2 linked regions of the Anolis sagrei genome follow. The protein of the gene in region 1 interacts with the protein of each later gene in a biochemical or structural test. Links are inferred from orthologs where the notes say so. Each region holds a gene or a part of one and is shown in the gene's direction. Other genes may lie near its edges.

Region 1 (10,171 bases):
ACTATTCCATTACAGTTGTGTTGCTATTGAGAGCGGATACATGTTGTGTTGGGCACCTCAATATCACACCTCTCTTCATTAGCACAATTGTGCCAATTTGTGAATTTCTAGTGCAGTGGTTACATCCCGCACACTGTGACTTCCTAATCCTACTATTTATTTATTTATTTATTTATTTATTTATTTCAGTTACTTTTACCCCGCCCTTCTCACCCCCGTTATTTTATTATTTTTAAAATTTTTAGTGAGATTACACAATTCCAGAATTTATAAACAAAAAAGCCAATTATATATATATATATACATACACACACACACACACACACATATACATACACACACACCAACTCACCAACTTTAGAATAATGGGGGAAGAGGGAGAGAAGACAAAAAACCTTTCCTCAGACATCACTTTACTGTTGGCATGCTAGCAAAGACCCAAAAGGGACCCATCATACCAAGGTAGGTGGTGGCAACACTGCAGGATTTAGATATATTGATGGGTTTTATGTGTTAACAGGGATGGGAGAGTCATGGGAAGTGGTGAAGCAGATCAACAACAAGATGCGCACAGAATGGTATGATAGGGAATTCAATTACCATGCTGGTTTGCCTGCTTCACTGCACTGATATAACTCCCATGGTTCCCTTCTAGGTATTCCTGGGATTTGTAGTTTGTTGTGGCACCAGAGCTATCTGAAATTGAAAATACCAGAATCCCACAACATTGGCAGTTAAAGTGGTATATTATAGCTGAAGAAGGCCTTTCAGATCTGCTGGAGTTCTCTAGAGCAGTGGTTCTCAAATCCTCATCATCCCAAGCACTTTCTAAGGGCCCCAGCCACCTTGACCAATAGTCAGAGACGCTAAAGGTTGAGAACCACAGCTCTAGCAGTCATAACAGGTGATGTCATTGGTCTGCATCTGGATATAGGAAGATAGCCACATGATTCTGAGATTTCAGTAATGAAATGGCAGGAAGGGACTGTCATAAAACAACTGTGAGTCCAAGTGAAGGCCTTTTGCAACTGCAGAAGAAAGAAGTACCAGCCTTCACAACTCAAAAAGATAGCATATGCAAGATGTACCTCTGCATTTGTCACAAATAAGATACCAGCAATTATGTGTTTCTAGCTAACAAACAGCATAGAATGTAACCAAAGGGGTACTGAGGCACCTCTAAAACTAACTGAGTGCAATAAGTTTCTGACCTAAGCTTTCATGGACTCAGGGTGTACCGTAGAAGTAACACTGTTTGACATTAATTTAACAGCCATGGCTCAATGCTACGGTATTTTAGGAGCTGTAGTTTTTCAAAGTCTTTGGCCTTCTCTGCATACTGTAGCAAGATTAGGTCAGCTCCATCCCTCCTCTCTTTTAGAAAGAAGCTCAAAACATGGTTTTTCAAAGTCTTTGGCTTTCTCTGCATTAATCCAGGGTTATTTAAGTGGTATCAAATTACCTTAATGCTACAGAGTAGATGCATCCCAAGTCTACTTTATGAAATGAATTGATCCAGTAAATGCATACTGTAGCAAGATTAGGTCAGCTCCATCCCTCCTCTCTTTTAGAAAGAAGCTCAAAACATGGTTTTGGGACCACGCCGTTGGACAGTAGGTTTGACAGTAATCATAATGTTGGAATTTTGACTATGACAGGCTTTGGACTGGGTCACCGGTTGCTAAATTAGACTTTGATTCGGCTACATGATAATAATGTTTTAAATGTATTTTAATCTAATGTTTTCGCTTTTGTATAATGTTGTACGTAATGTGTTGTATGGTGTCGCAACAAATTGCTGCCATTATAAGCTGCCCTGAGTCCCCATTCGGGGGTTGAGAAGGATGGGCTAGAAATGTTGGAAATAAATAAAATAAATAAATCTGTTCTATGAAAGCTTATGCAACAAGTTTTAGTCTCAAAGGTGCTAAGATATCTTACAGTATCCCTTTGTGTACTTATCCTGACTAACAAGGCCATGTCTTTGAATTCTATAAGCATAAAATGTATCTAGTTATCATTCATTTCATTAGGACCATAAGAAGTTATCTTATACTTTTACCTGGAGCCCCCAGTGGTGAAATGGGTTAAACCCTTGTGCCGGCAGGACTGAAGACCAACAGGTCGGAGTTTCAAATCTGGGGACAGCACGGATGAGCTCCCTCTGTCAACTCTAGCTCACCATGTGGGGACATGAGAGAAGCCTCCCATAAGGATGGTAAAACATCAAAACATTCAGGCATCCCCTGGGTAACATCCTTGCAGACAGCCAATTCTCTCACACCAGAAGCGACTTGCAGTTTCTCAAGTCGATCCTGACACGAGAAAAAAAATACTTTTACCTCCCTACACTGGGATGAGAATCATATTGTGTGAGACTAAATCTTCTAGCATTTTTCATCATTATCTATGATGACTAATGCTGCCATAGCAGATACTTCAATAACATCTGGACACGTAAATAATTGCCTCTCCTAGTCTCAGTTCACTGATAGGAAGCCACGTGATTTTCAGTTAACGTGCCACACCAAAAAGTCCTCCAAATGTTTTGAACTTCAACTCCCAGAAATCCCAGCCAACTTAACAGCCATTAGGAGTTGTAAAAGCTGAAGTCCAAAACACCTAGAGGTTCTGGAAGGGCATTCCAAGATCCAGAGCAGCCATCAGGAACTACTCACCATTCCACTACTCTTGGAGTACAAACCTGTAGCATACAACATTCAGCTAACAATGAAGAAAAATGCTTGTATGGTTGTAAAATTGCTAAGCTATAAGGGGTAATGCCTTGGTGCCTCTATATGAATGCTCCTTAACAAAAGAGACACAAATCAAATGGCAGTTGAAGTAAGAATGTAAGGTAATTCCTTTTTGTGGACTTAGCACAAGCAGACCAAGCAGCGTCTATTTTATTCTGTCATAAATTGTGTGGGAGAATCTTATGAAGGAATGCCTTAAACTTGAAATGACCTATGATGGGAATTCAAGATAAGCAATTGTAACTCTCCATCCAAGAAATGTCAAGCAATTATTCACCTGGAGAAAACATTGTTGCGCAAAGAGAACTAATATATTGTGTCTTTTATGTGTGGCTGACCAGAAATTATCCAAAAATATCTCTCTCCACAGAGAGGAAAAGACAAAGAGTTTGTGGTAAAATGAGAACTGAATTATAGTTTTCCTGCCTTTATTGGCAAAATATATGGACTCTTTTGTGCTTAACTTTTCCCCTGGCTGGAGTTTCTATTGGCTGAGTGTCACAATTACCTTTTATATTATTTCCTTTAAACCACTGCTGGGAAGAATGTGGTCTTACAAACGCTGTCGTACTGTCACTCTCAACAACTGTGGCCTCTTCCACACTGCCATATAATCCAGTTCAAAGCAGATAATCTGGATATTGTATGGCAGTGTGGAAGGGGCCTGTGTTGCTCAGAATCGTTGGGCATTTCTATCCAACATCAGGAAAGCCACATGGTCTTTCTCCTGATTCATAAGAAGGCAGAAGAGAAACAATAGGATAATATGGGAGAATTATAAATGGAAAACAGCACATGAGAACCCTTACTCCCGCAAATGTGAAGTTGGAGCACTGCTGGATTTATGCACAAGTGAAATAAGACACAATGTTGGGTTTCACACAATGGAAATCTCTTTATACAAACAAATACTGCTGCTTTTTAAACTAATAAACTAAGTTTCAAACTATTGATTAAAAACCAGAGGAAAAAATGAGGAAAGGACCATTGTTTTTTGATAGGAAAGAAATTCACTGAACACAATTGTTTCTTATCTGTTCATAAATCTGTAAACAGAAACTATTTTATTTATTTACCCTATTTATACTCTGCCTTTCTCAACCCTGAAGGGGACTCAAGGCAGCCTACATACAGGCAATTATTCAATGCCTTAAAGCAACATACAATTCCAATGAACAGTTAAATTAAAATTAAAATTAATACATAAATGTAAAGGTAAAGGTAAATGTTTTCCCTGACACTAAGTCTAGTCATGTCTGACTCTGGGGGGGGGGGGGGGTGCTGATCTCCATTTCTAAGCCGATGAGCTGGCATTGTTTGTAGATGCCTCCAAGGTCACGTGGCCAGCATGACTGCATGGAGCGCCGTTACCTTCCTGCCGCTACCTTCCTGCCAGAGCACTACCTATTGATCTACTTACATTTGCATGCTTTCAAACTGATAGGTTGGCAGAAGCTGGGCCTAACAGTGGGAGCTCACCCCACTCCCCAAATTCAAACCACAACCTTTCAATCAGCAAGTTTAGCAGCTCAGCAGTTTAACCCGCTGTGCCACTGGAGGCTCATAAAATTAATATACATTAAACATTTAAAAACATTACATTCAATATTAAAAATGAAGCCACCCATAATCATAGTTCAGGGACATTCCAATAGCTATTTCACATATTCCATATCTATTATTGCAATACAACTATTATCTGAAGGCTATGTTTTATATCAAGTATCTATTTGGTTAGGTGTCCACAACCTGTCAAATATCGCTGGTAGCAGGTGACTGGTGTTGTAAATATATATACAAATATACACCTCATGTCACAGATCACTTGCATGAGAGGGAGATGCAAATTAACAGGGAGATGGGCCCCTGTCACTTGCAGTGCTCTATAAGTGGAGATAGGGGATTTCTGTGAATTCTAGATATCCTCTAAACTATGCAACACATAGGAATCATTAATGTTCTTGTAATAAATGCTGGGAATCCCTGGCCCTTGAATGCTCCAGTTGGAGGTCAGCTGTGACCAGCAGTGCTGCAGAATTTGAAGAGGCACGAATGGATGATGAAAGAGAGAAATGTGCCAAGAGGAAGGCACATCAAGCCAACCCCGACCAGGACCGCCTTCCACCTGGAAACCATTGCCCTCACTGTGGGAAAAGATGTAGATCAAGAATAGGGCTCCACAGTCACCTATGGACCCACACCGAACACCGACCTTGGAAGACCATCATCCTCGGACTATGAGGGATCGCCTAAGTAAATGTAATAAATACATACTTCTAGGTTGTGCATCCATAACTGCATCAGTGAATTCCAGCCCAAGTCTTTGCTGCAGGAAAGAGAGGAGGAAGAGGTCTACCAAGCCTCCTCTGGAAATATTTCCAGAAGTGGGGAGTATCCGCTGAGAAGGCTCTATCCCTTGTCGATCAGTCAAATCAGGAGCCTGGCTGTAGCATTTTGGATGCTCTCCAGTTTCTGTTACCATGAACAGGTCTGACATCTCCAGAAACAAGCACAACTGGTTTACTGGTTTTAGCTACAAATAAATTCCTTGCCACTTCTGAACAGCTCAGCTCAGATCCAACTCCAGAGAGGACTCAAGCTGTAAAATCTGAGATTTCATTGGGAATGTAACCCCATCCAGCATGAACAGGTAGTTTGCCGTCAATTAACACAGCACATTGGGAGAAGGGAATAGAAGAGGAGTATAGCCATCCCCATCAGACAAAAGCTTCACTCTATCCTGGATTTTGTGTTCTTTCTCATTAATAACTGTTATCATCTTGTCATATTCAGATGTTTGTTTGGTTTTTTGTTTTGTTTTGTTTTGTTCACCTATGTCTCGGTTTTCATCTAAGAATTGTTGGAGGGTATATGGGAAGAACCAGTGTGATGTAGTGATTTGAACACTGAACTGTGACTCTGGAGACCAGGATTTGATTCACCACTTGACCATGGAAACCCACTGGATGACCTTGGGTGAGTCACACACTATCAGCACCAGAAAAGCCTTAAGGTTATAAAAAAAAAAATCAGAAAGGACTTGAAAGCATGCAACACCAATAATATCAACAACATATAATATGTATAAATGTCTTTGCAACTCTGTATTTCATTCCTTGATCATTTCCACTTCAGTCTGACTGTCATCAGGAAAGCTTCCACGCAGAGACAATTTCAATGAATAAATGAAACTGCCAGTTAAAAATAATAATCAAATGCCTTGTTATGGGAAGAAGGTGTAGAGTCATCTGTATGTTGGGACCCGTGCTTGAGTTTAACCGTTGCTATATCTGTAATTAAAGATTCTTCACTCACCTCACAAGAACTATAATTCCCATGCTCCCCTGGGGAAAGGAAATTATCATTAAGCTACTTTAAATCTGTGGTGGATAAGCCCGAAATGTTTACAGGTGCTTCATGGGAATTAGGTCAGTAGCTTTGCTCGAAAAGGGCTGAGAGTGGGAGTGGATTTAGCAAGCTGTGATGTAGTCTGTAAGGCAAATGTGAGCTTTATGTTTCTGAACATAGGAAGGCTGTAAGCGTGCCAGGTATGGAATACCTTCTTTTTGTATTCAGCCTTTCAAAATACTATCAGATGGCTAACTAAAGATTATTACAATGCATTGCTTTGGTTAGTGAGGTATGATTTCTAGCTTGTATTTCTACCATTTGGGGTATTTTTCAAACACATGGGTATGGTAAGAAGAAGGAAGAAAAGTAATATGTCCTTTGGAAGGATAATCTTGCATTTGAGTGTAAAAAATATTTTTGGCGAAGAAGCTTATGGCCTTTGTTTCAACAGATGGTGTTTGTCTACGAAAATGGGGAAAGTGTGCTCATCTAAATGCTTCCAGATTGCAGCTTTCATCAGTCCTTGCCTGTTCGGCCAGTTTTGACGGATGATGGAACTTGCTATCCAACAATATCTAGTCCACTCATTCCATAATCATGGTTCATATCATAACAATCTATGGGTTTTGGATGTATTGGGTACATGACAAATGTCTATATGTTTACAAATCCATAGTTGAACCTCTTTGTATGAACGAAAAGAAAAGTCAGCTGTATCAAAGATCAGATGTGTCTTGGCTGTGCTGCAGGGGCAAAATCATGGCAACTGCAATGATCAGTGAGCCACGAGGGCAGAATCTAGAGTTACTAAAGGAAACTCAGTGCTCAGCTGGGAAGAATGAGGGTGGGGAAAAGATTGGTTATCAAGCAGTCCAACATAAGTAATGAAACCCAGTTAAATAAATCATCTTTTAAATCAACCTTTGCCCATTCAGAGTGTGGCCATCCTTACTGATGCAGCAGAATGAGATAGTACAGAATGTTCTAAGGATCCAACTTCTACACAGGCAAGTAAGAAAATTTTTGAATCCCTCTTTTTCAAATCTTCCGCATTTTAAATTAGATTTAGTCTATTGTTTTACATCTTTCAGGAACTCCTTGATACCTAGGGTGCATTTACACTGGAGAATTAATGTAGTTTGACATCACTTGACTGCCATGCCTCAATGCTCTGGAATCATGAGATTTGTAGTTTTGTTTAACATAACCTAAAGTCAGAGAAGGCCACCTGATTCTTCTGTAGACTGACATTTTATTTTATCTCCTCCTTCATAAAAGCCTGCCTACAATCTTACAAACAGAACTAAGCATGCTCATTTCTTTCAATACTACTTCACTATGGACCATACGGATTAATTTATAAAATCAAGAGCCTATTCCGAATTCTGTTATATGTGGATTACTGAAATGATATTGATAGGGGTCTATATGGCACTTGTAAAACTGCATATTTGGTAGAACCTGTGAAAGAACTTGTTTATGATGCTTGAAAAGATTCTTGATTGACTATTGAAGTTTTCAAAAGTTATACTGAACCTTGAGCCCCAGATTTATTATAATGATAATGCTAATAATATCAGTGATGTTGATCCTTCTCCTATGTCAACACATATTCAGCATAGTGTGCCGAAAGTGTTGAAGGAGTGGAAATGTATGGACCAAAAATGTTATAAAATTGCCTTAGTCAGTAAACCTACTACTGAGGTATGATGGGACTTGCAATCCAGCTGTATGTGGAAGGTCATCAGATATCAAACAATGCATGACTATTAGTTATAGTTAGATGTGGTGGCTATTGTAGATGGAGCTTTTGTAAAGGAATATGAACAATTTTATCTCTAGCATTGCTAGAGTATTAGAAGCCCAATTTACCTTTAAGCTGTGTTTAGAAGAAGAAGAATGAATAGGCAGAGGGGACCTGAATGCCACATACTTCGCTCTCCTTATCTAGGATGGATATTCCACGTATTAACCATTGCTTCTTTACATATTAACTACAGCATCCACTAGCAAAGGAAGAATGAGCAAAGTACATGATAGCTATGAATAATCAGAACCACAGTTTAATTAAGAACCCATGGAGCTCTTCTTGAAAGTGGAGAGTTGTTGACAACTTTTAGCCTGTATGGTTAGGCAAGAATGAGAACCCAGATTGCTCATCACATTTTGCATTGCTTTAAACTGTTTGAATTGATTATGTGCCAACGACAGATCTTGTGATCTAATGTGATAAATAGATATTTTGGGTTACTGTGAGTTTTTGGGCTGTATTGCCATGTTCCAATAGTAATAATAATAATAATAATAATAATATAACTTTATGTTTATACTCTGCCTCCATCTCCCCGAAGGGACTCAGGGCGCATGGGACAAAATGTCGACAAAACATCAAAACAAAAACAATCCTTTAAAACAAAAAACCACAATTAAAATAAAGCATAGCAAAACATAACAATCAAATAAAACCCAATTAAATAAAACATAAGGGTATAAAACAGCAGCATTAAAACTCACTCAAACAATACACAACAAAAACCAAGAACCAGAATACTAAGATGAGTGTGATTCCCCTTCTTGCTACTGGAACATGGTCATGCAGCCCGAAAAACTCACAGCAACCCAATGATTCTGGCTACAGAAGCCTTCATCAATACAATAGATATTTTGATTTATTGATTGACTGATGATAAATGGGGGACACAAACATGCAGGTTTTAATAACTCAGCACATACACCTGTAAACATTTAGCAGAACAAACGCCAGCAGAATACTCTCCCTACTCCTATATCATTTTAGCACCCTTTTGTTAATAAGGGCACAAGACTGTCATCATATCTACTCCATGAAACTATTCATAAGTTTTCAAAGAAAATCTGTAGATCAGAAGGGGGCGAATTGGCACAACAATGTGATAAGGAATACAGAAGTCAAAAACAATTGTAACACATCTAGCATAGCAGCAATTGGAAACAGTAGAATCTCACTTATTCAATCTTTGCTCATCCAACGTTCTGATTTATCCAGCGCAGTCTGCGTCCTGCCCGAATCCACAGCTGTTTCAGTACATTACGATGGTTTGGTGCTAAATTCGTAAATACAGTAATTACTTCATAAGTTACTGTGCCTTGAACTTCTTTTTCTGTTGATTTGTTGTAAAAGATGGTGTTTTTATTGCTTAATTTGTAAAATCATAACATAATTGGATGTTTAATAGGCTTTTCCTTAATTCCTCCTTATTATCCAACATTTTCGCTTATCCAACATTCTGCTGGCCCGCTTATGTTGTATAAGCGAGACTCTACTGTTATTACAAGAATTTTGAAAAGTTGCTTTTTTCTTTTATAAACACTATAAAATTCTAGATTTCCCAATCAATTTGACCATCAGCTAGGGAATTTTGTAAGTTGTACCAAGGAAGCAACAAGACAAAACTCCATTCATAAATGTTAAGCAAAACTCTAGGATTGGAGACCTTCATTCATTTGTATAAGAACTGGAAAGGTTGCCAAGCTGCCATGATCTTCCCATCAACAACCTAAGAACGACCTTCTGTTTTCAAGCCATTCATTGTAGTCACAATTTGCTCCTTGGCTGAGGATTTAATTGTTGTGGTTAATAACATAGAGCTCACATATATTTGCGCCAAACAAGAAGCCTATTCCTAGTTTAAGTTTATATGGGCACTAGAGAGCGAATGATTAATAGTTACATTTTTTCTCTGTGTGTGATTATTAATGTTTAATCCTCACATTGTAGTTGCAAAGAACCTTTACTAAAGTCCTTCACCTAAATAGATAATTCGTCATACACATCCTTCAAAATGGCTCAGAAAAAGAAATTCATTCTAGTTAATCAGTATGTTCTCCTCTATTCTGAAAGGATTCAGAAGATAAACTCAGAAAAACAAAGCTAACTCTTACAGCGGTTTTGTAACTACATTATACTGCAAGGTTTTCCTGATAAAATCCTCTCAGTTCATTGAATAGTGCTTCACAATCCAGTACATAAGGTTGACTAGTCTTTGAGAATGACACCAACATCCCCTGAATCCTTTTGTCCTCTT
Region 2 (9,899 bases), on another chromosome or scaffold:
GGGAAATCTTTTCACTAGCTGCCTGTCAAGAGAGGTGTTAAAGGTACAGGAGATTTGCCAAACAAATAAATAAAATTAAAATAAAATTAAAAATGTCTGGCAGCTTTGTGCCTACACATGATTGATAGAAAAAATATGCTGCTATATGATTTTGGCTGCTAAACAATCTTCACAGCAGAGAGGTTGCTAATAGAAAAATATGATTTGTTTACATGGCTTCAAATGTGTGAAACTCCTAGTTGTTCGCCAGCACTAACTAGGGAGCAAGCCCTCTTGAACTCAGTAGACCTTACCTTTGAGCGAATGCCCATAAAGTAATTTGTAGGAAGTAGCATGCCTGCTCCAGATACCTCCATTCCTCTGACCTCCTTAAAGCAACTTGTATAATCAAGGCAGGGAAGAACCAGGATTTCAGTCTCAAATGGAGATAGGTAACTCTGAAACCACTCTCCTGAACATACTGACTAGCGCTTGATCTACACTGCCCTATATCCTAGGATCTGATCCCAGATTATCTTTTTATCCCATATTTTCTGGCAGTAAAGACTCACATTATCCTGTTCAAAGCAGATAATCTGGGATCAAATCCTGGGATATAGGGCAGTGTAGATCCAGCCATAGTCAGTATGTTCAGGAGAGTGGTTTCAGAGTTCTTTATCTCCAAAATAAGGGGATACTTTAGGGCTCGATATCTAGCTAAGTGCAGAGGAGACATGGAGGAAGTGAGGTGCAAGACATCCCAGCAGTGCACATGTAGTCCAGGCCCACGAGGACCTTGAGATCGTCTGGGGAGGCCCTTCTCTCGATCCCGCCTGCCTCACAGGCACGTCTGGCAGGGACGAGGGAGAGGGCCTTCTCGGTGGTGGCCCCCTGGCTGTGGAACACTCTCCCTGCAGACATCAGACAGGCGCCCTCCCTCATGTCCTTCCGAAAAAGCCTCAAGACATGGCTGTTCGAGAAGGCATTTAATTAAGTGCTATAACAATGTGGTAAAGATGACTGGAATGGAACAAGGAATATGAGATTGGTTATGATTCTACTATGAGACGAAGCGGATTTTTAGTGTAGTTTGTAATTGTTATGTAGTTTATATGTTGTTGTAATTGCTTCTTTGTAAACTGTCTTTTACATGTGTGCACACCGCCATGAGTCGCCCTAAAGGGCTGAGAATGGCGGTTAATAAATGCATCAAATAAATAAATAAATAAATAAATATTTCATAAATGGCCTGGATTTGACACAAAAATGTCGCATATGGGGTTACTCCAGGGCTGATTTAAAATAGGCTAACCTCCAGTCTTCTGCTGCTGATCCAGCAGTCATTCAAATTCCCTCCCTTACCTTTATTCAAACATATAAAGAAGCATTAACATTTGAAACATTCATTGTCCTGTGGTCACCTACACCATCAATTTCACTGGACTGGCCATGTTGTCCAAATGCCCGATCACCGTCTTCCATAGCAGTTACTATACACCCAACTCAAGAATTGATGGACAGGAAAAGAGACTTAAAGATAGGCTTAAATCCAGCCTTTAAAACTGTGGCATAGACACTGAGAACTGGAAAGGCCTGGCCCTTGAGAGCTCTAACTGGAGGTCAGCTATGACCAGCAGTGATGCAGAATTCAAAGAGACATGAATGGAGGGCAAAAGGGAGAAGTGTGCCAACAGAAAGGCATGTCAAACCAACCCTGACTGGGGTCACCTTCTACCTGGAAACTCATGTCCTCACTGAGGGTGAGTATATGGAGCAAGAACAGGGTTCCACAGCCACCAAGACACTAAACTTGGAGGACCATCATCCTCGGACTACGAGGGATTGCCTAAGTAAGTAAATAAGTAAGTAAAGGTCACCTAGAAATGGTCAAATCTTAAGAAAGTTATGTTTGGACTGTAGTTCTCCAAATCTCTTAGCAATCATGGCCAGAGGTGGGTTTTTTAAAAAAACTTTTTCAAGTTCACGAAACAGTCATATATCTGCTTTTTGCCATCTTTTCTTTTATGGCTAGTGCTTAAAAAAATTCCCAGGATTGCAAAAAAGCGAGTTGAAATGTATTATATAGCTAGCTACCCTACACACTGTTATGCCATTTTAACTGCCATGGCTTGATCTTATGGGATATATAGTTTGGTGAGATATTTGGAATTCTCTACCAGACTTTAAGGAAGTATACTAGAAAATCCTAAGTATCTCATTGAACTGCAAATCCCAGAATTCCCATAAGAGCCATGGCACTTTAACTAGCATCAAACTGCTATAATTATGTGAAATGGATACACCTGGGTTGGAAGAAGAGAAATGTGACCATCCCTACATTCATATCTGTTTGTGAAACTGGTGTCATGAGACTCAGCTCCTATATCTTTGGGTGTCTAGTCCTGAAGATTACAAAGAAGCACAAAAAATCAAAACAAACATATGAGATATTTTCTCAGTGAGTAAAATCAATGTTGCCCAAAAGATTTCCCATAACCAGACAAGAAGACCTTAGTGCATATCTATCTCTTGCCGGAATTTACTACCTTGTCTCTTCCGATTGACCTATAACCCATTTGTACACTTTCTTCAGCTCGTGTGGACCTTCCAAGAACATAGCAACACAGGCAATCCTTCTTCTTGAAAGCACAATAAATCACACAAATACATGCAGATTCACCTTAAAAAATGTAAAGCCCACTTTACTTAAAGTTGTTTGGCTTTGCAATAAATGTGAATGGTCTTAAGACGTCGAATTACCATTCTGAGTGGAGCTGCATTGAGGTCGTGGGGCTGCAAATGGGAAATGTACCTCTTGAGGGTTACTCAGCCCAGCCCTCTGAGTGTAGGGTCTCATGCTGTGTGTTTGGTGACTATGCTCTGACCTTTGCATGTTGACAGGGAAGCATAAGCCAATGGATTTACTCCCCAAAAAGTATATATTGGATTTCTCCTTAATTCTTTCCCATTCCTGGGCCATAGAATAAGTCATCGCAAGGCTGGGTGTCTTTCAGGGCTCCTTTAAGAACAGAAGACTCTTTTGCAGAAGTGAGAAAAAGGGAAGAAGACAGGTAAGAAAGGTCATACTTATAACTACTACTATTTGAGTTTGCTACTAAAAATGTGCAGAAGCAGCTTTGCTCTCGCCCATTATCTGTCCCAACCCCAGGTTTCTAAACATGCTCTAAATTGACTTCTTTCTCTTCTTATAAGCCCTAGGTTAATGCCAGAAAAGTACTTTGGGGCTGAGTTCTCTATAATGGAGTTATCTCTTTGTTTAATGCTACACAGGATAAAAGGGGAGGGAGGTATTACCATTCCTATTTCTTACTGTTGGCTGTTAGAGGTTAACCTAAAACATTGTTTAAAATTGTGTTGTCGAAGGCTTTCATGGCCAAAATCACTGGGTTGCTATGAGTTCTCCAGGCTGTATAGCCAATGTTCCAGAAGCATTCGCTCCTGACGTTTCACCCACATCTATGGGAAGCATCCTCAGAGGTTGTGAGGTCTGTTGGAAACTAGGCAAGTGGGGTTTATATATCTATGGAGTGTCCAGGGGTGGGAGAAAGAACTTTTGTCTGCATGAGGGAAGTGTGAATGCTGTGACTGATCAGCTTCAAAGGCTTGCTACTTCCCGCCTGAGGGAATCCTTTGATGGGAGATGATTAGTAGCAAAATTACAGTAACGAAAATAATGTTATGGTTGGGGTTCACCACAACATGAGGAATTGTAGTAAGGGGTCATGGCATTGGGAAGGCTGAGAAACATTGCCTAAGAAGAAAGAGGTTGAGAATTAAGTCAAGATGTCTAAGGAGCTATAGTTCCAGGGAGATGGGCATAGAGCTCTCGAGCAGAGAATTCTATGTATCCCAGCAAACTATAAATCCCAAATAGAGTGCGCTATCAGAGCAACTTGCTTAAAAGTCGGCTTGTGAAAGCTGGGCTGGGTAGGCATGAGAATCTAGCATTTGTGAAACCCTCATTCCTCCAACTTAGGGTGGGAAACCTATAGCCCTCTAGTATTGTTGGACTTGTTTTTGTTATTATATGCCTTGAAGTTGTATGTATAGCAATCCTACCTTAGGGTTTTCTAGACAAGAATTATTCAGATGTGATGTGCCATTGACTTTCTGAGATTGAAAGAGTGTGACCTGCACAAGATAAGTTAACCAGTTTCCATGGCTGAGTGGAACTGTGTTCCCTTGGAGTGCTATCTGACACTCAGTTAGTACCTTTTGCCACTACACCATATTGATTCACTGCTGGATTGCTACTCCATTATACTAGACAGCATAGTCATTGCTGAGGAATGCTGGAAAGTTACAGTTCAACACCCTCTGGAAGATTACCCCATTCCTATCCTAGTCTACCCGCATCCCATTCTCATGTGGTCAAGTAAATTCCCAAAAAGCCCCTAAAATTCAGTTGTAAGCAAGGGAAAAACTGGCTTAGAATATCCCCTGAACATTTTCCTCATCTCTGCTCCCAACTTGTTCATGAATAGATTGTAATTATTAGGAAGAAGGTGAATGGATGAGGATGCTACTTATTACACTTAAATCTAGTGGCCCATATTTCCCCCTCTAATTAACTTCTTTATCGGAATTGAACTCCAAAATAACCAAAAATGTAATAATGATAAGCTATTGTTCATCTGCTAACATGTATCCTTTGCGTCTTTATCTCTTTGCTTCCAGTTTTATTTGCGTTTGCTTAATTAAAACATTGGAATATTAGCCCCACATTATTTTCTGGATCCTCATACTAGAATTTTGCTGAGGTGCATTAGACTTCATCGGTATTTAAACCTTTATCTGTAAGAGGCAGATAAAGTTTGTTGCACATGGTATTGGATTCACATCATTTTAATAGGCAATTGTTTGCCGGTGGGAAGGAGCCAAGATTGCATTTGCCACATAGCACGCTAATTAAACAGATTGGTTGCCACCCAAGTTGCACTGTCAAATAAGTTACCATTGAGGTCTTGGATCAGAAAGCAGGAATATAAGAGAAGTTCTGAGAATTGTCACGGCAAGGTGTGGAATTTAACACAAATGTCTCACTTGTGGGTTAATTGCAGGAGAGGGTCGCTGCTGAAGTGTACAGCTCAGGAAATCTGTGTCGCTCTAAGCTTGGCTTATCTGTTTGATCGAATCGCCATGCCTCCCTCGGGCATCAGTTTCATTCAAGACCCACGACTTTTGAACAACAGTCCCAGGAAGGAGAGGAGGAAGTCTCAGACCCAACAAGTTGGCTCAAAGTTTCAGAAGGAGATCCAGGTGATGCTCTATGCTGTCCTGGTGGACTTGTGTGAAAAATTCACTTTTTTCGGCATTGTCTGCAACATGATCCTTTTCTGCACCATCAAACTTGGCTACCACAACTACCAGGCAGCCATGATCAACCTTTGCTTTTCAGGTGCCTGCATGGTGACCCCTTCTCTGATGGGCTGGCTTGCTGAAAGTCCGGGGGGACGAATCAAATTGGTATATATCTGTGCATTGCTGCATTTTATAGGTAAGTTGTACCTTGTTGTGCTATTCTCTGACAGTTGTTTGTAATGCAAGGTGTGTTCAGACTGTGGCTTCTTAAAATCTGGTGCTCCTATATCAAAATGGAGGTGCCTGCAAGTAACAAAGCACCTATAGCCCCATGGGCTATATGCACTGCAGAATTATAGCAATTTGTCACCACTTTAACTGTCATAGCTCTATGCCATTAAATTCTGGGATTTGTAGTTTAAATCCAAGGATTTCATAGGATTAAGCCAACATGGTTAAAGAAGTGTCAAACTGCTATAATTCTGCAGTGTGCTTGGGAAGATGGCTTCCATCTTCCAGCCAGAGAAACAATAATAGCATATAGTTGATGTTGCTGAAATTATTGCTCGAGAGGTACAGAAGAGATTTAACACATTTGGGTATCTTGGGTTAAATCATATATGGGAATCATGCATCCTTGTGGAGACTGCTGAACTACAAGTCTGAGGAGGATTCCTCACTATGGTGGCTGGAGCTGCTGGTACTTACAGGCCAATCATATTTGGAGAGTCTGAGAAAGAGAACAGTACAATTGTGTGTGAAATTCATTTCTCCCGTTTCCTTCGTTTCTTTCGTGTCCTTCATTATTTCAGGAGATTGTAACAGGAAGTCCTCTCCCCCTATGAAAATCAGCTTGACACAAAAGCAAGCAGGAGCTGGTCCCAGCTCCTTGTCTGCTTTTTGGCATCACAAAGTAAGAAGTGCTCAGCTGCAAGCCCTGGCAGGTATGGGCACTCCTACACACCACACACACACACTCTCCTTGGAAACTCTGTGTGTGTGTGTGTGGTGTGCAGGCCCAGAATGCCCATGCCTGCCAGGTGTGCGTGCTCCTGCACACCACACACACACACACACATTCCAAGAAGAGAGTGTGTGTGGAATGCAGGAGCGCTCACACTTGCCAGGTCCTACAGCCAAGTAGAGTAGAAGCAGCAGGTAAGAAGAAGCCTCATTAAAGTGTGTGCTGGGAAGGGTAGACTGGATGAGAAGCCTCCCTCCCACTACCCCAATAATGGGCTGATAGAAAATTGATCTTCTGATATCAGAGAGCAAAAACTGATGTCTGCCTTCCTGATTTCAGGAGGCTCCCAAAAATGGATCAGGGCCTCCAACAAATGCTGAAGCATGAAACAGGTCAGGGTTTACCCTAAATGCACAACCCTAGAGAACATACCGTTTAATTGATTGAAATGGATGGTACTTATTAGGGTTGGCAAATGGAGGTCCCATTAATTTCACTGAATCCACTTTTATTGTGACTAAAATTTGATTTAGCCTCTTATCTGGTGAGTTGGTGTACATCTGCCAGACTGTAAACTAGAGAGGGCTCCTGTACATTTAATATTTGTGAAGAAGTGAACATCGGTAGATGCTGTTTACTGCCTGATTTTGTGGCAAGTGACTTCCTCTTCTACACAACCATCAGATCACATATGTGAAATGCCACATCATTTTATGTAGCCTGCAAGGCTTTCAATGCCACAGCAACATCATTACATTTATACAATTTTAAAATGTCCCTTTGAGGGCAACCATAAAGCTGATGTGTTGAAAACGAGTTTCCCTGCATTAGAGGTACAGGAGCTTTCTCCAGTTTCTAGTTGGTAACTCTATGCAAAAAAACCCCCCAAACTTTTTTATACGGTGGTTGCAAACCTATAGTCCTCAAAGGATTTGGCACTTTATCTCCCAGAAGCCCCAGCGAGCTTTGCCGCCTGTCAGGAATTCTGGGAGCTGAAATCCATGAATCATAGAATCATAGAGTTGGAAGAGACCTCATGGGCCATCCAGTCCAACCCCCTGCCAAGAAGCAGGAATATTGCATTCAAAGCGCCCCTGACAGATGGCCATCCAGCCTCTGTTTAAAAGCTTCCAAAGAAGGAGCATCCACCATACTCTGGGGCAGAGAGTTCCACTGCTGAACAGCTCTCACAGTTAGGAAGTTCTTCCTCATGTTCACCTGGATTACCAAATATTGGGAACAACTGCTTTAAAGTTTGGAAATGCTGTTTGTTTTTTAACTACAGCTTTGCTGCCTGGGGGGATTCTGGGAATTTTACTCCAAAGTAACTTTTAAAAAATCTGGTTTTATGTATAGCCTTTAATCCTGCCCTTCTTTCCGTCTCATGTGCCCATCTCTCCTGTTGCAGGTACAGCCCTGTTGCCTGTTGTTGCCTTCCCATTTGAAGATTTTTTCATAGACAAACGCTATGTCCTTCACACCTTGCCAAAGAGGGAACAAAAGGCACTGTTTTACATTGGACTGCTTGCCACCTGTCTTGGTTCAGGAGGAATAAGGGTCCTAGTGTGTCCTCTCCGCCTGTATAATCTTGATGAAACGGGTCAAAAGGAGCGCCTGCCATTTTTCAACTGGTCAGTATCTGTTGGAATGGGAGAATAAGCATGGGTTGGGGTGTCATTGGGAAGATCTTGGTAGCTGAATATGCCATATTTCATCTAACGAAATGTTATTCTGACTGCTACTTTGGGAATTTCGAAGAACGTCCAGCCATGTCTGATAGAATTTCACACACGACTCTTCTCAATAGAGCATAATCAATATATCTGATGCTAAGGAATATATCCCCCATTTCTCTCTACTCCATTGGTTCTCAACCTCCTAGTGCTGCAATCCCTTAACACAGTTTCTCATGTTGTGGTGACCTCCAACAATAACATTATTTTTGTTACTACTTCATAACTATAATTTTGCTACTGTTTTGAATCATAATGCAAATATCTGATATGCAGGATGTATTTTCATTCATTGGATGAAATTTGGCATACATACCTGTATGCTCAAATTTGAATACTGGTGGAGTTGGGGGAGAATGATTTTGTCATTTGGGAGTTGCTGGGATTCATAGTTCACCTACAATCAAAGAGCATTCTGAACTCCACCAACAATGGAATTGAACCAAACTTGGCACACAGTACTCTCATGATCAACAGAAAATACTGGAAGGGTTTGGTGGGCATTGACCTCTACCACTTGAGTTAGCCCTAATTAAAATACTTTTCCTGAAGAGATTTCAATCTGTATATGTTTATTTTTAAGTATATTGGCAATCTCATATCTCTGATCTGTCGGTTTTCCTGAAAAACATAGAAAAAACAGTAGTAATCTACCTAGAGCCTTCTCATGCAAGAAAGCAGATGGTGGGATACTTTTGTGTTGGCTCTCATTAGACATGCAACGTGGGGGCCATTCACACTATACAGTTAGAGCATTATGTCTCCACTTTAACTGCCATGATTTCATCCTATGGTATCCTGTGATTTGTCAGTTGGTAAGGCACTGAAACTCTCTAAGAATTCTGAATTGTTGTGTGCCTTCAAATCATTTCCACCTTATGATGACCCTAAGGTGAACCTATTGTGAGCTGTAATGGGCTGAGAGTGTATGACTTGACCAGAGTCAACCCAGTGGACTTTCAGGACCAAGTGAGGATTCCAATCTTGGGCTCCAGAGATAGTCCAGCACTCAAACCAATGTGCCACACTGGTGTGCCCCTTCCTAAACTGCCAATTCTAGGTTTTCACAGGTTGAACCATGTCGGTTAAATCAGAATAATAGCACTACGATTCTATAGTGTGAATGGGTTTCTGATCTTGGCATAGGCCTAAATGTGCTATTTCCTGAAAGATAATATGAATTTACATGGAAAGGTGTACATGGTATGAACTTACAGTGGGTATAATGTAAAATTGCTATGGAAATACATCACACTGTATTCCTATGGGAACAGTTTCCTCTTTCCAACCTTCTCTGGTGCATTTTTGGATCATATCTGAGCTCTTTCTTAAATATTGCTGCTTCTAACTGAAGGTGAAAAGATTGTTTAGTTCCTTGAAGCAAATTCTTCCTCATTGACCTACCCAAAGGAGTATAGGAAAGAGGGGGGAAATCCCTCTTTAAACGTTCAATTCTGGGTTTTAATCCTTAATTAGAAACATCATTTTGATTAAATAAGACTCCGGAGAATAAAGGCAGAAGACCGAGCTGAACAGTTGCTCAGGAGAATTTATAGTGCTGGAGTTCTTGCAATTCAGAGAGAGTTTTTTCTTAAAATCAAAGCGACACTTTCTGGTGTTGATGACAAAGGGGAGAAGATGAATGCATATCAAAAGTTTCTTTGGGACAATCCACACAGGACATTGCTTCAGGCTTTTTGGGTAAACTAAGAAAGGCAGGTGATTAAAAAGAAACTAGTTTTTATAGCTGTAGATGAACTTGAAAACGAAATGTGTGGCCCACGTCATTAATCTAGAGAAAGGTCTTTGATAAAATGCAACTTAGAATAATAGAATCATAGTCCAACCCCTTGCCAAGAAGCAGGAAATCTCATTGAAAGCACTCCTGACAAGTGGACTCT

Evidence for each region.
Region 2: the proteins of PDZK1 (region 1) and SLC15A5 interact in a test that uses a peptide from one of them, tested with the Homo sapiens proteins (2 studies listed by IntAct, with this or other methods). The link is inferred for Anolis sagrei from reciprocal best matches to the Homo sapiens genes PDZK1 and SLC15A5.

What each region holds. Positions count from the first base shown.
Region 1 is NC_090023.1:53,629,505-53,639,675, reverse strand, and holds the start of PDZK1 (Na(+)/H(+) exchange regulatory cofactor NHE-RF3), read left to right. Parts: upstream 1-6,179; 5' UTR 6,180-6,304; intron 6,305-7,042; 5' UTR 7,043-7,114; exon of another isoform or gene 7,115-7,118; intron 7,119-10,171. UniProt on the Homo sapiens protein: A scaffold protein that connects plasma membrane proteins and regulatory components, regulating their surface expression in epithelial cells apical domains.
Region 2 is NC_090025.1:181,822,457-181,832,355, reverse strand, and holds the start of SLC15A5 (solute carrier family 15 member 5), read left to right. Parts: upstream 1-5,076; 5' UTR 5,077-5,139; coding exon 5,140-5,497; intron 5,498-7,673; coding exon 7,674-7,896; intron 7,897-9,899. UniProt on the Homo sapiens protein: Proton oligopeptide cotransporter.